Styela clava: one gene and its partner. The protein of the gene in region 1 purifies or fractionates together with the protein of each later gene. This does not show direct contact. Links are inferred from orthologs where the notes say so. Each region holds a gene or a part of one and is shown on either strand. Other genes may lie near its edges. The genes, in order: proteasome subunit alpha type-4-like and proteasome maturation protein-like.

Evidence for each region.
Region 2: the proteins of proteasome subunit alpha type-4-like (region 1) and proteasome maturation protein-like fractionate together in Homo sapiens (co-fractionation; 4 studies listed by BioGRID and IntAct, with this or other methods). This does not show direct contact. The link is inferred for Styela clava from reciprocal best matches to the Homo sapiens genes PSMA4 and POMP.

The regions. Positions count from the first base shown.
Region 1 is NC_135264.1:10,773,534-10,781,259, reverse strand, and holds proteasome subunit alpha type-4-like, read left to right. Parts: upstream 1-4,457; 5' UTR 4,458-4,619; coding exon 4,620-4,713; intron 4,714-5,287; coding exon 5,288-5,480; intron 5,481-6,077; coding exon 6,078-6,297; intron 6,298-6,778; coding exon 6,779-6,901; intron 6,902-7,363; coding exon 7,364-7,534; 3' UTR 7,535-7,697; downstream 7,698-7,726. UniProt on the Homo sapiens protein: Component of the 20S core proteasome complex involved in the proteolytic degradation of most intracellular proteins. This complex plays numerous essential roles within the cell by associating with different regulatory particles.
Region 2 is NC_135262.1:19,620,117-19,628,344, reverse strand, and holds proteasome maturation protein-like, read left to right. Parts: upstream 1-4,693; 5' UTR 4,694-4,820; coding exon 4,821-4,823; intron 4,824-6,100; coding exon 6,101-6,310; intron 6,311-6,436; coding exon 6,437-6,584; intron 6,585-7,388; coding exon 7,389-7,462; 3' UTR 7,463-7,644; downstream 7,645-8,228. Other genes in the region: uncharacterized protein LOC120332779, read right to left, coding at 1-303, 2,625-2,672. UniProt on the Homo sapiens protein: Molecular chaperone essential for the assembly of standard proteasomes and immunoproteasomes. Degraded after completion of proteasome maturation. Mediates the association of 20S preproteasome with the endoplasmic reticulum.

The DNA of each region.
Region 1 (7,726 bases):
TGGCAACAAGTTTACTCTGAATAACATATGGAAATGAGCTAGAGGACATCGAAGATAACAATGAACAAAAACCCCTCATTCACGAGACAATCTGGTGGCGTTTGAACGTTCATATCGCCACAAAACCGATTTGCATCGAACTCGCTAACAACAGGTTCCCTTATTTCAAAAAATAATACCGAACTAAAACAAAAACACTCAAGAACGGGTTCACTGATTATCACGACATTCCAAGAACGGGTTCGCGCAAACACCCTGAATCACACCACTGTATATATTTGGTATATATGTGTAAGTTAACACTTCAAGTTTGCAATGGCCGAAATTATGTCGCAGTAAAGCTCGATTCCTTCCAAAAACACACTCTCGTTCAAAAACTCGTTGTTATCATGAAGAAGAATAGGTGTATTTCGCATTGGACTGAATCCAATAACTTGATAACCTCGTTCACGAAGAAATCGCCCATCAGTACCGGCACAGAAAATTTCTTTTGTATAGTGCAGGTTTCTTTTATGAAAAGCGAATGTAAAAGCCCGCCACCATGGATTTGTTTGATCCGCAGTTGTAATTGCTTGACACGTATCTTTACATTCAAACTCAAATGTGACGTCATTTCCGGCGTCTTTGCACCAAGAGGATATTCTGCTTTCGAACGCTTCCAAGTCAATCGTTGGCGGGAACCTGATATCAAAAGTGGCTACAAATTCTTCAGGTACTACATTCGGTTGCACTCCACCTTTGATCATGGTCAAGTTAACTGTAGTAACATCTCCTAATGTTAGACCAGAATTGTTGCATAGTCGCTTTTCTTCTGATGTTCTGAATTCCTGAAATTTATCGATAACATTTTGCTATTTTCCAGCAGCAGTGCCTTGTATAAATCGCGATCCATGACCTGGATTTCCTTTGCACTTGATGTGCACCACCCACATCAATCTTTCACCATAGAAAACAGAATAATTATTATCCGAATTAGCAATCCCTTCGTCCAAAGCCAGGCCTACGTTCATGGCACTGAAAACAGGTGTGTCTAAAAAAAGCTTCATCCCCTTGTCGCCATTATTGATTTCCTCATCAGGAACAAATGTGAGATGAATCGTACGTTCAAATGTGTTTCTTTTTTAGTTTTCGTCAATATCTTCAATGCTTCCAGGTACTGTATGCCGACGCATTTCATATCCTGGGAGCCTCTACCATATATATTTCCTTTTTCGTCCTTATGAGCTTCCCATGGATCAAATTTCCAGTCGTCTTCAAACACCGGAACAACATCTATATGAGAATTAAGTAAAATCGACGGCAAGTTGGGATTTCGACCTGGTATTGTCATAACCACAACCTCTCGGTCCTTGTCAATCTTCACATGCTTTGCGTCAATGCCAAGTTCTTTCGCGTAATCATCCAAGAACGAAACTGCGGATGCATAATCCGGATTCGGATGCACTGTTTTGATCTGTAAGTATTCACGAAACTTACGAACTGCTAACTTTTCATTCATATTATTCTGTACAAAAGTTGAACAGTTATATGCATACGATAGGCCAACATTACTAGCGTGCTGGTGATCACGCTAATGGCACTACTAAGTGCAAATTCGTATGCTTAAGGTTGTAAGGCAAATGTACGTAAAGTTATATCTACCATAGCTGGCATGAATAACAATACCACTTCTATATTCGACACCAATCTGATCTAGCGACTGGCGAAATTCTATAAACCCATGCGGTTTTAGAGGTAGGCTATATTATATTTGGATAAGGCACAGAGTCTTTCAAGGCAAACTATAACTACTTATGGACGCACAGTGTTTGCAGCTACGCTCAAGTAAACTCAAATATTGCTAAATAAACAAATGTTTCATCCCTCGGAATCACATTTGTTCATTTACTTATGGTATAGCCAGTAGTGGGATTCAAATTTTTGGTCAGCCGGTTTCATCACAAAAGTCATATTTTTTCAGCCGGTTCTGTTACAAAAGTCATTGACAATAACTAGTAATGCTAACCGGTTCTCTGATCTCAAAAAATTCCGTGAATCCTCAATGAGCAATATCGTTTTAGAAACGTTATGCAGTGGTTTAGTTCAGTCTTCACAAACTAGGGGCCGCGGCCCCGCAAAGGGCCGCGAAGCGACTTTTATTTTGAACAAAAAATTCACGATTCCCAGTGAATACATCATCCTATACCGTTGTTCATTATAATTGAGGCCTGCATTAACAAACAGCGAGCTACGACTGGACTTGCTGTGCGGCAAAAATCATTCGCATCCATCACACTGATTGATGAGTGAAGTTCATCTGAACAAATTCGTGTTTGTTTTTGTTACCGAATAGGCCCACTAAAAGATGAAAATTTACCGTATCATAAAAATATCTAAAATGTATATTTCGAACTGTTTAGCATTATTAACCCTTTCCGTGCGGTGGGCACGTATACGTACCCACGACAAAACTCGCTAGATTGCGGCGGGTACGTTGATGTACTCCACTGTTTTATTTAGCAATCGGTCGCAAACTGTTGGTCTAGTTTTTCCGGGTTTTAGTTTATTGATAAGAAGTCTTCTTCGAGATTAACATAAGCGACGGTAAATCTCGCTTTCGTTTACCATGGGAATTTTATTTGCGGCGGAACGAGGGAGTGTTTTTGAAATTTATGCAAATTTCGGTGTTTTTTGGGTGGTAATAGAAGACATATTATCCCTTCCATCTACCAAAGTATTTTGAGTTAGATAACGAAATTGCTACAGCAATATTATGCTATTGTTTGCCAACCAAGAAGCGGTAACAGTAAAGGATTTAGCAAATATTTCTATTTTTTATCACGGTTTGAAGTTTCAACACCCAAGAAGAAAAAATGCCCTTTTTCTATCCGGTTTGTGACTCAGACCACCCCTTTAAAAAAAAATTTTTTTTTTAATCGCCAGTTGCAAGCTCTTTAAATAAGCTTTCCAACGAGCCGTCAGTGGGCAGCAGAGGATCATTACTTTTTCGTTAGTCGATCGATTAGTTGTGGGGGTACAAATGCATAAAATCGGGGTAGCAAATACGATTATTTAATAAAAAATAAAAATCGCATGGAAAGGGTTAACGTGAACAGAGGCCGCGAAAAATTTTACAATATTGAAAGGGCCGCGAGCTCAAAAGTTTGGGAAGCCCTGGTTTAGTTCGTGAAGGTCACTAAGCCTTTTAGTGTCGTGGTCGAATTGATGAAACTATTAAAATACCTGGAAACACGTGACTTGGACACGGCAATAGTAGCCCAGATTCGTGGGACACGTCCGGGATAACCTGACTTCGATAAAATTTTGTAGTGTTTGGTTTTATTGCTTCTTCACACATATTTCGGTTACAATAAACGCACCTTGAGTCCGCTAAGATTTTCGCTAGTGAGAAATAGCCCGCGACCAAAAAAGGTTAGGAAACGCTGTGCTAAGACATCATGAAGCTTCCTACGAGAATATATACAAGCAGCTATCTCGATTAAATGATTATATATCTAGGAACGTCAAAGCCTAAGTTTGAAATGGGCGCCATATAATTTTACACTGAGCGATAGTTTAGGATTCTGATTAATGATCAAAATATATTCAATTTAATATTACACCCTATCCGACTACTGGATTAATCAGCATGAGTATTTTGATTCCAAAAAAATGACAATCGTAAATCCAAAACCACGCTGAAAATAAAACAAGAGGCCAGACAGCAACACAAGATCTCAATTATATGAAGGAACAGGATTATTTTTTCCATTCTTTCCTTCCTTATCGACAACCGATTTCCTATGCCGCAATGGTTTCACCGCGAACTCCCGATCAATTAGACTACTTGCACAAATAAGACTCAATTGCAGCAAGTATACATTGCTGCTGAAATTATGTCATAGAGATAGTTTACATCAATCATATACCACCACAAAATAATATATATCACATTAAAAAAGCTCAATGAAACTAATCGACATGATGGCAGAAGTCTCCGCCAAACAAGTGCTAAATTTAACTGTTCAACCAATATTACCATATAGTATTCGTATTTATTTACGATTCAATCACTTTGCCGAAGGCCTTCAGAATTAAAAGTACTGTTTCAAAACAAATCTGGCCCGGCGAACGAAACTGCATAATTAGGTGGCAATTTGAATTGGAAACCTTTTGGTATCTCCCGAAAAAATTCACTCGGAGTCTATTACCTATGCTATTCGCATACTCGACATGGACTTTTAACAAGGCCAACGGTAGAATAAGTCATTTTAATCGCTTTTTCTCTCCCTGAAGATATCGGTAGATACAAAAATAGAATCGTACTATCATCAATCGAGGTGTAAAAGCACGAACTGAAAAAAAAGCACATACCACAACAGCGCACCCAACGATTTTGCTTAGTAATGTGTTGGTTGACTGGTTATTAATTTGCGGAGTCATCTAATAATCCGAAGCGTTTGTTGCTGCTTCCAGAGCATAGGGTACCTGTAGTATATCATTATAGTGTTATTCTTCGGCGTTTTTTAATTATTTTTTCTTTCAATTCTGATTTAAAAGCAATTTGCGACGTTGCGGGAAATATTTTGAATTATATGAAATAATTTTAAGACAGAACTGGGCATTTAATAGATTGAAAAATGTCTCGTAGATACGATTCACGAACGACGATATTTTCTCCAGAGGGACGGCTTTACCAGGTTGAATACGCAATGGAAGCGATTGGTCATGCTGGTGAGTATGTTAAATCAGTAAAAGAACCATTCAATGATAAATTAAAAGCTTACCAACATCAGTTATAACCATTAGTACAAACCCCTCCTTCACGAGACAATCTTAAGTTCACGGTAGACATAGATAGATTCAATTCATCCGAAGAAAATAAATATACTGTAGCATTCAAGAGTTTTTGTCAAGTCGGCAGTAACGAATTTTGGTCACATCTTGGCTTACACAGGTCATGATTAATTTGTATCATACCGTGGTTCGTACAGTTTTATGGATCTGTCGTCAGGCCATTGTTTTCTGTCACAAATACTGTATCTGAATATTGAGACATTCTCGAAATTGGATACCGGTAACTGTGCCCTACTGATAAGCCAAATAAGTGTTTGGACTTAACTGCCTAGTCAACCTACTGGATCAAGTATAGTTTAGTACCACATGCACTTTTAGTGGGCCTAACATAACAAATTTTGTCACGTCATAGAGCTTGCCAAAGTATAGCTTCACATACGCTCATATGCATGTGGTACTAAACTATACCAGACCCAACCTACTGACATACAATTTGCTCATTTTATTTCAGGTACTTGTCTCGGGATTCTTGCAAATGATGGAATTCTCCTCGCAGCAGAGAAGCGAAATATTCACAAATTATTAGATGAAGTCTTTGAATCTGATAAAATCTATAAACTGGATGAAAACATTGCATGTAGCGTTGCAGGAATAACCTCAGATGCAAATGTTCTAATAAATGAACTGAGAGTTATAGCTCAAAGGTATATTCAATAGTAAGGTGCATTTCTAGCAATCAATACAACTTGAACTTTTGTTTTTTAAAAATAGACGAATTGTAGGAGCACCGTTGTTTTAACTACTTGCGCTGGGCTAATTGTCATCATTACTGTGAAGTGGAATTTTTTATGTGGTGATTTTTCCGATTAGCTCAATGAGTCAATCGTCAAATGATATAAAACAGGGCCATACATAGTGGGTTCTCAAAGTGCTCCATACGGAGCCCCAGGGCTAATTTATTAATTACAGAGCAGCAAATACATTCGAGTCATTAAATAAAGTAATCTCAGTTTACTCAGTGACATTAATTCGTAACCAACAATGTTTTTATTCTTGTAAATTTATTATGAGGCTAAGTATATAATGGTCAATCTTTTCACGGACTTCATAACACCAAAAGTTTGAGAACCCCTGCCATACATATTATGTCAGAAACCTAATTTTCTTAACATACAGGACCCATTGCCCAACTTGAATTTGACCCTCTTAAAGGATCTTGACAGCTCAATATTTATATAGAATTTGTGTTATTATTGTACATAGTTAGCTCACTAAACTAAATAGTATCTCTTTAACTTTAGATATATGATTCAATACCAGGAGCCCATTCCAATAGAGCAGCTTGTTGTCAGTTTATGTGATATAAAACAAGCATATACACAGTTTGGAGGTCTTCGACCATTCGGAATATCTGTTTTATACATGGGATGGGACAAGCATCATGGATTTCAACTTTACCAATCAGATCCGAGTGGGAATTTTGGAGGATGGAAGGCTACATGTATTGGACATAATAGCCAGGTTTGTTTCAGATAACATGTTTTGCTTTCAATTGTGACACTAGGTTAAAACACACTTAACAAGAGAAAAGGAAGAACATTTGAATATATGATCTTGTGATATCACAAATAATTTCAACAAATTTCGGATATAAGTATGTCCTGCATGGCTGAAGATTTTCTAAATTAAATATCTATCCACTATTTGTTATTTTTTGTTAGTATGGATGCTTATTGAAATTAATGACAGTGATCTTTCTCTTCTGGCACACATGGTCGTATAAATAATGTAGTTGTTTTAGATATTTGGTTTTCTGAATACAGTTTGGGAAGTTAAGAAGAACCACCGTCTTGAACATGCATTAAAATAAACCGTAATCAAATATGTGTTATTTTCATCATTATATTCATCATATATTCATCTGAGGATAGGACAATATGAATATTCTAACACAAAGTTTTTTTATACTGAATAAATTAAGTTATTCAACATATTTTTCAAGGCTGCTGTATCCATGTTGAAGCAAGAATACAAGGAAAATGATACGACAATCACAGGTGCATTGAAACTTGCTGTGAAAGTTCTCAGCAAAACACTTGACACGAATAAATTAACATCTGAAAAGGTGATATTGGATTTATTTTATTATAACACAAGTATTCAAATACCAAAACTTAATTTCATATATTTTACTCTAGGTATTTGATTATATTGAAACGATATTCGACATATGTAAAATGTCAATATAGACTCTTGGATTTGAAACCAGCGACTGTATTAGCAGAACAGGGTTGGAAACCACTTCCTTAAGAGCATGTTTTACCATGACTAATGCTTGTAGCAACCAATTGGTGTATGACCTTCTAAATTGTTACGTGTGATTTGGTGTGAAAAAGGTATTTGTTTGTTAGTCCAACGGGTCATCAACAAAAGCCATCATCCATGTTAATTTTGGATAGGAAATCTATTAAAAATCTCGAAATTTACAAAAATTCTTAAACTTGTATAACGTCCCACAACAGGCATCAGCATGACCGTATACAGTTTGCTTACAGAAATTGACTGACAACTGTTCTATTCTTTACAGGTTGAGATGGCTACATTAACCAGAGTAGACGGCAAGACTGTCATAAAAATTCTGCCGAATTCTGTCATTGACAAAGAATGTAAAGTATATGAGGAAGAAAAAGCGAAGGAAGAAGCTGAAAAAAGGGAAAAAGAGAAAAGATTAACTCCTAAAAAGACTCCAAAGAAGTGATTCTGAACATTGACTGAATAGATAATTAATATTTTGATACTTTTTTCGAGTTCCAATCTGAAGGCTGCTTTCATATGCCAAGATTCAGGCAATACATGTCGCACAAGCATGCCGCAATATGATTCGGATATGTGAATAAAAGCTAGTAATATTGTTCATATAAGTGTTGCAAATTTGGAAGGATGTTTCTGA
Region 2 (8,228 bases), on another chromosome or scaffold:
TTCTTTTATAATTTTCGGTGCTGCAGTTTTGATTATGCGTTTTAGGTCCAAATGAGAGATTTCAAAATTGTTCGAATGTGGCTTTTGCAATTTTTCAATGTATTTAGCTGTCACTTTACTTCTGGATTCTTCCCTAGAAATTTCCATCATATCCGCTATAACATCTGCCCATAGTGGTGATTCCTGATTTAATGTGATGTTCAAATCATTCAATGCAGTCTGCAGTGTCTTCTTGCAATCAACACTTCCGTAGTCGATTTCTACTACAGATATGCCCCATTTTCCTTCTATCTCGTCATCAAGCTGTGAAATATATAAAATCGGGTCTAAAACAGTGCCGGAGTGCTTGAATAAAGAAAAACAAATGTGATGTAAAAATACTGACCAAAATTTTAAGCAAAACAAAAACGGCCTCCACTTTCATATATTAAACTACGGTACTATTATAGGGCAACAAAGATTCGACCCTATCTGCGTGTCCACACACCCGTGTTATTGAACACACGTTAACAGAGTGTAACTCCGATCTTGACTCCTTCAGAGGCCAAAAAGCACACAATGTATTGAATGCCAATTGTTATATTGTAAAGTTGCACAATCGAATTGATTCAAATAACGAATTACACTTGAAACCCCTAAAGCAAGTATATGTGATGAAACCAAATTTCTAACTAACAAAGAACGGCAAAGACAAGCTACACTGAGTGAGAGAAATATATCATAAAGGAAATGAATTGGGACAACGACCTTGTTTCAGGCAAATAACATGCACTACTAACAATAAGTGGTGAAAATATTAAAATACACAGTAACTATCCTTATGTACTTGCTACACAATTCCCCCCGACAATGAAAAAAATTAGTTTGCTAATTTTTAAATTTTGTAAGACTAGCTAATAACGATTTCTGATTGAATAATATGTCGTAAAATTTGCCATGTATTGGTGTATTTAATTCTGCATCAAAGTCGCTGATGACCAACTAATGCAACGACACAGGAAAACCAATTTGATTGAGATACCTCCGGTTGAAGGATCTTTTGCGGTGAAATCTACAGATTTTCACGAAATCTTCGATAACACCCAGAACTAAGCCATTGCGTTTGGACAATCGACTTCTTTCTGCTTTGTAAAATAATGAGCGTAATAGTTGATTTGAAGAATAATGTTGACGTTAAGATTTCGTTCGTTGAAAACATTCCTCTAAGCTTTGAAAACCTGTCCAACTCTCGGATTTTTCAATCTGGGAAGATTGTCCGATGAATTGAAATGTAACAAGAGTGTGGTAGCGTTGAATTTCGGAGAGTCGCGGGCCCTGCAAACTTTCGTATCATCAACGTTCCAGACAAATGTAAACGCACCTTTCCGGCAAAACCCGGAATTGGGTGAGCATTGGCTTAAATCAGCTAGGGGAGAGTGAAGTTTTCGTGTTATGTGATTGAAATAGAGAGGACCCTTCCACGCGGGTCACGAGTATTTGGGTTCGACTTGGTTTCCAATGATGCTGAAATAGATGATGATCGACTTGAGAGAATAAAGTAGATGTTCGTTCGTACGTTCGTCAAACAGTAGGTCGCTAAATGCTGCTTCTTGGTGTAAAAAAAATCGGCTTGCGTAGATAATATCAATGTTTTTTTTTTTTACGTAGCTTGCTTTGTCGATAAACACATTTGAAAATCCAGTAATAATATGAAGCTGTCCTGGTAACTTTAAATTGTAATGAGGCGGATTGAGCTGCTGAAGTCCATATCTCCTGATCCGGTTGACACACAAAATATATAGTTATAATATATAGGTTGATAATGAGACACAAATTCAAAGAATTTGGGCGTTGATGCTTGGAAAATGAAAATACACGAGCGTGAACTCGGGCGTTAAACTTGAAGAGTTGAAGTTGAGTTAGTACTGTCTGATCGTAGGAGGTCCTGGTCCAGATTCCTCGTTTTGAGTCAAAAATCTACCTTGTTCTGGCCTTCTTGACTGCTTAATAAATTGACATACCGCCAAAGACTGCAATTTGGTTGGTTGCTTGATTCCTGAAATGCCGACGTATTGTCCATTGACTCGATTGGTGATGAATTTCTTTTCCATTTTGATTGACGAAATTCCAGTTGCTGAATTGAAGTTGATTGCTTATTGATCACGAACGGGTATCACCAAAATATAGGGCAACAAAGATTCGACCCTATCTGCGTGTCCACACACCCGTGTTATTGAACACACGTTAACAGAGTGTAACTCCGATCTTGACTCCTTCAGAGGCCAAAAAGCACACAATGTATTGAATGCCAATTGTTATATTGTAAAGTTGCACAATCGAATTGATTCAAATAACGAATTACACTTGAAACCCCTAAAGCAAGTATATGTGATGAAACCAAATTTCTAACTAACAAAGAACGGCAAAGACAAGCTACACTGAGTGAGAGAAATATATCATAAAGGAAATAAATTGGGACAACGACCTTGTTTCAGGCAAATAACATGCACTACTAACAATAAGTGGTGAAAATATTAAAATACACAGTAACTATCCTTATGTACTTGCTACACTATAAACTCTTACTATTGATTCTTTCAGGATCAAAACCTATTTTAATAAGCAATCAGTACTATGTAACTCACGTCATCAAAAAATTCAAGCATTTTTTCCTCAGATAAATCCATTTTCATTCGAACTTTGAATACCGTTAACAGCGAGCAGCCTAAAATATACTGCAGACGACGCCGTGGTTATGAATTACCCACGCCAACACTAGATGACGCTGTGAACAACAGATCAGTATACGGCCTTCCAGGTATGTTAGTCGTTGGACCTTCCAGACTAGTTATATAATGGCTCTGTTTCAAATTTGATATTGACAGTCAAAACAATGATTTCAATTTAACATATTTCATCACACCTTAACCCTAAAACTCGCGAGTAATGACTTAGTTAGCCTTGATATCCCCTTGTTGGGGTAGGAGCGCGTTGAAAAAAAAAGTTAGCCGTCTGTGGGCGTTGAGAAAAAAAGAGAGCGCTTTGCTTATGTGTTTGGTCAATATATTCGTATTAGAGTCCAAGGGTTCCCAAACTTTATTGGCCGCGGGCCAAAATTAGAATCGAAAGGATGTTCGCGGGCCGGAAGAGTGTAGTGCCCGAAAGTGTGCAATGGTTTGGCTGGGGTTCTGTGGATTCACGTTTGACATTTTTTTAAACATGTTTGTTTGATTCATAATGGCGCTTTATGTCGTATTGATTTATAACTTGAATAGTTCGTTGGCTAAGTGGACAAATCGCTGAAGTGTGATTCTTTTCAATACAGAAATACGAACAATGCCATTTATCGGAGTAACATCTGTTTTCAGAGTCTTGTATATTATTTGACATCTCTAACCTTTCTTAAACGGCTGATAACTAAATTACTGCCCTATGTAATCCTAATACGGTACGTATAATTGAGATACCGGCATAATCGAATTGTTACCATGAACACGAGCTCAAACTGTGATAATGACATAACAATTGGCGGTTTCTAGATTGTAAACTTTAACAAAATCTATTTCATTGTTTCACTTAAGCTCGGCGGGCCATTTTAAATCGTTACGCGGGCCGGAGTTGGCCCGCGGTTTGGAAACCCCTGTATTAGACGAATATATTGGTGAGCTTAAAGTGTGATTCCGTTTTAAAAAGTTGTCAGTGATTTAGAAACATACCATATTCTATTGAAAATGGGGTTGTTTTTGACCGTTAATTTCCATTCTTATGAAAATCTTTTGCAATTAAACATTTACTTTTGTTGGGCAATCATTTGGCCTAACGATTTTATGCCACTTAAATAAACATCCGAATTACCCTACCTTCAAGGAATTCATAAAAATTGGAAGCCGAATTTTAAAACGACAGAGAGAAATAGAAGAATTTTACCTTAAGAATAGGAGAAGGATGAAGCGAGTCCCAACAAGATGAAAAATCTGTAACTTATAAAATTAATCAAAATTATGAACATAAAATAACATAACACTTTATTCTACATTGTTCATTCGTTCCATCTCTTGCCGCGTTAAATATATACTTTGTTTGAGCGCGCGTTTAATATATACTCGTATACCGTAATTCTTTTCAAAGTCCCTTCGTCTGTTGTTGATTCATTATGTCATCATTTTGATTAGTTTTTCGTGGATTTTTCACCTCATAATATTTTTAAAAGTTCGATTCGTATGTTCGTGAGCCATCATCAGTATTCGTCTTGTCGTTCCATGGTCGTTTAGCAATGTCCAACTGTTATTTGTCTTTAATGCATTGTCATCTCGTTATTTGTCGATTCTTTCTCGTCTGCAACTTGGAAAAAAATTGGCGATTAATGTTAGCTAATGGCCCCTGCGTTTAAGTTAGGAAGAATCGTGAATTGTACTTAACTTTGTTCCTCCGTAGATGTTGCAAGATCTCCGTTTGCGCAATCTGACTCCAGGCCACAAGAAGGCATGCTTATTTGGCCTCTGTTCAGTTGGGGTTAACTCCGACAACCCACGTGTAAATCCTTTTGGCAATTTGTTTAATTACTTAATATCAATGTTGACATATTATCTAGTTCGTTCACATGCGATAATCACCGAAAATTCCCTCAAAATAAATTTTGGTCAATTAAATGAAAGAATTCTTCACGGGTCAAGGGTCGAAAAAAATAATCATAGCTTAATATTGCTTAGTCATTTTCACAAATCGATTTCCAGTTACTGCGGCGTCATCATTTAATCGGTTTGCCTACTATTATTTGGAACTTCAGAGTGACAATTCCAGACTTTTGTTTCACTTTGGCAATTTGTAGAGGAAGGGTCGTGATGGTAAGTTTTGTTATTTTGTGCCACTCGTTCGTTTCCTCTTATTTAGTCATATTTCTGTAGTTGTTAATATTCCAGTACGTCCCCGGTACAGTCTGACAGTGCCGGGTATTTCTATTATTTTTGTTATTGCTGAGTATTTTCGTGTAGCAAGATAGCCCTGTGTCTGCCAGTTCATGGTTATCCATGTGGATTTCAGAATGTTAACAAGTTCAGAGATTGATATTCATAGTCTAATGTTACGGTAGGCTATATTCTGATATTCGTGATTTCCTTTTGCTGGCAGTACCGTATTCAGGTATTGCTGTACCGGTTTCGTACCCTGCGGTATTGTCCATTTTGCATATGACTGCATGGGCTTAGTGTTAGTTCTGTAGTTAGCCCATTAGCCTAGGCCTACAGGCCTACTTGTTTCAGATGTATAGGTTTCATGTTTCAGCTTCACAGTCTTCTGGCAGTCTGGTCTTGAGTGCAGAGGAAGGCTACAGATACTGAGATAGTCTAATAGGATAGGATTTACATATTTATCCCGGGGGAGCGGAAAGCCGATAAGACGGCTTATCCATATGGCGAACCATGGCCTCTCGTCCGGTTACCATTCCAAGTCGGGTATGGGATTAGTTATATTGTTTGTTTACGAAAGCATGGACTTGGTGGAGGAGGAAGCCGTTACCGACCAGCGGTTTCGTGAACCACCCAACGACAGCGAGTAGTCCAGCAATCCTCTCGCACATAATCATCCCTGCATGGGATTCGAACCCACGCAGAGTAATTAGAGGTGCGATGGCGAGCGTATTCCTAGCGCTTAGCCACACCGCCGCGCTGATAATAATAAATCTAATAATTTGTCTTCGAACAGCTGATGTCATTTAGATGGAGATTTAAAGTCGCACTTTATAGAATTAAAGCTTTGTTAAACTTTAGTGATGTTTGTCAGGTCTTTTCTGTATGGCCTGCAAAGGATGATTTTTATATGTACCGGTATAACATTAACATCTTTTCATCCCACAGACTTTTCTGATGATTTTTTCATGGATTGCTATTTGTCACAGACGTTACCTGCCAGCACTGGTACAATCCTAAACCTAACAAACCCAAATGTTCCATAAATTCAGATACAGATAGCCTATATTTTTACTGGCAAAATGACTGGAAATCCAAATCATATCTTGATTCATCCGTGGTCTGGAAAGTCTGTATTGGCTACCTTCCATTCCTCTTTCTCACTCCATACAGTAGTAGAAAAAGATATCAACAAAATTTATTATATACATAAACAGGAATCACAGGGATTATTACATTGCAATATGAAAGAAACATTATCTATACCACGTGAAGAAAATGATGATTTTGTTATTAATTCCACTTTGAGAACTGGATTCAAAGATGTACAGAAAGGGGTTGGATCAACTCATCCTATTGAATCCTCACTGAAAGATTACAGTGCTAATATGCTCAATATTAGAATGGACATGCTACGACGAACACAGGTATAATACATGATTTTGTTTTGTTTGATCAATTAATTTATCCAAATATTTGTTAAAATGCAAATAATATGCCTATGTTATCCTAGTTTGTTACTGCAATTGTCAAAATATTGAATATTTTTTAAGGGTTTGTATGCTCCAATACAACTTCAAATGGAAATAAACACAACAGCAAAAGGTGCACAAAGATTGCCTTGTTTACCATCTTCTCAGCTTTCCAAAGAAATCGTTTTGGGAGACGACATTATGTTATCACATCTTGATGTTTTTAATGGTAGGTTGTTGTTAGAGAGATATCAACTCAATGAAAGGCAATATATCGATAATAACAAGCCAATTAAGTAATGTTTCAAGGTTATTCTTTCATATTTTATTTTATTTCCCACTTTACTAATTGTACTTGATTTGTTTTAAAAGCTCATGTGTAACACCTGATGTACTTTAGTGCGAAAATATGACATAGAAACTTGGCCATTAAATAGAGTAAGATTTATAAGGAAATTTATGACAGTAGTCAGTAAGCCAATGTGAGATGTTCGAAAGAGTTACAGTAAAGCTAATGTGCGATAGGCTTGAAAAATACAGTGTTTTCGAAAACAAAAATTAATTGAATATATATATTGTAAATTGAAACTTGTTAGGACAACAAAATTCTTACTCATGTTTTGGAGCCCTTAATATTGACTATATTATATTGTAGGCCTATCCCTATGGTAAATCATCTCTAGTTTCCTTTGAGAATATTCACATAACTTCACACAAAAATAGATGGTCCAAGGTTGTCAGCATCTGGAGCCACAATATGATTATTGTATTCGTGCCAAGGATAGATAAACAGCACAAAAACTTTAATGTAAAAAAAAATATTTAATCATTGATCAATCCTTATATATCCACATTTAGGTAAGTCTTGATAAAATCTTAGGTAAGTTTTATTAAAGTTAAATGGGTTGCCATAAGCTGTGGTAATAAATAGTGGGTCCCAACTCTTAAAAAGTTTGGGAACCACTGACCTAAAGTATAGTTTATTTATAGATCCAAAAATGTTAAGTCTCTATTTGTTGTTCTTCTTTTTCAGATCCATTTCAGTCGGAAATAATGGGAGATCCGCATATTATGACGGAACACAGAGCAGGATTGAAACTATTATGATTACAACCTTATGAAACATTGATTTAATTTGGTAGATACTCTTGACTGACTGGAAATATCCCCAAAAGGGCTTTTTGATTGACCTGGTTACAATGAATGCAATGGTTGAAATGTTAACTTTCTCTGTTGTCATATACGTTTCTATTAAAAACAGATTCAAATCTGAATCAGCCTACACAGAACCCTATTTATATACATTGTTATAGATACATTGTTATAGAGATGGTTGAAATCCCCTTGTTTCTGATCAGAACGGCCAGAGTATCATAATTGTTCGGTTTGTTCGTATCCGGATTTTCGCAATGGATTACACAAACTGTTTCCTGATTATTTTATGCTTAGCAAAAACATATTGAATCGCGTCTTTCTTACAGTTCTGAAGCGAGTTTTTGAAATCGTGGCTTTGTATAAGCAAAATAGATGCTGCCAAGATTTTACGCAGTGATACTCATTTACGCAACTATTGAGCAAAACTTCAATACCAAACAAGAATACAAATTAAATTTCCTGAAATGTAAAATCAATAATTTTTAAGTTTTTGTTGTCCCCCTAACTTTGAATAAAGTTGAAAGCAGATTATATATAAGTTCTGCAGGGCCAATGTCGCATTTTGACATTGATGAATTTTCATCAACTGCTCTCAACATGGCATGACTTCTAGAGTCTAGCTCTAAGCTGAAATGTGTTGCAAGGTGTCTGCAATAGCTTACTACTAATTATCATTGAATTGCTGATTTTTTGTCTTGCCATTCACCCATTAGCAAAT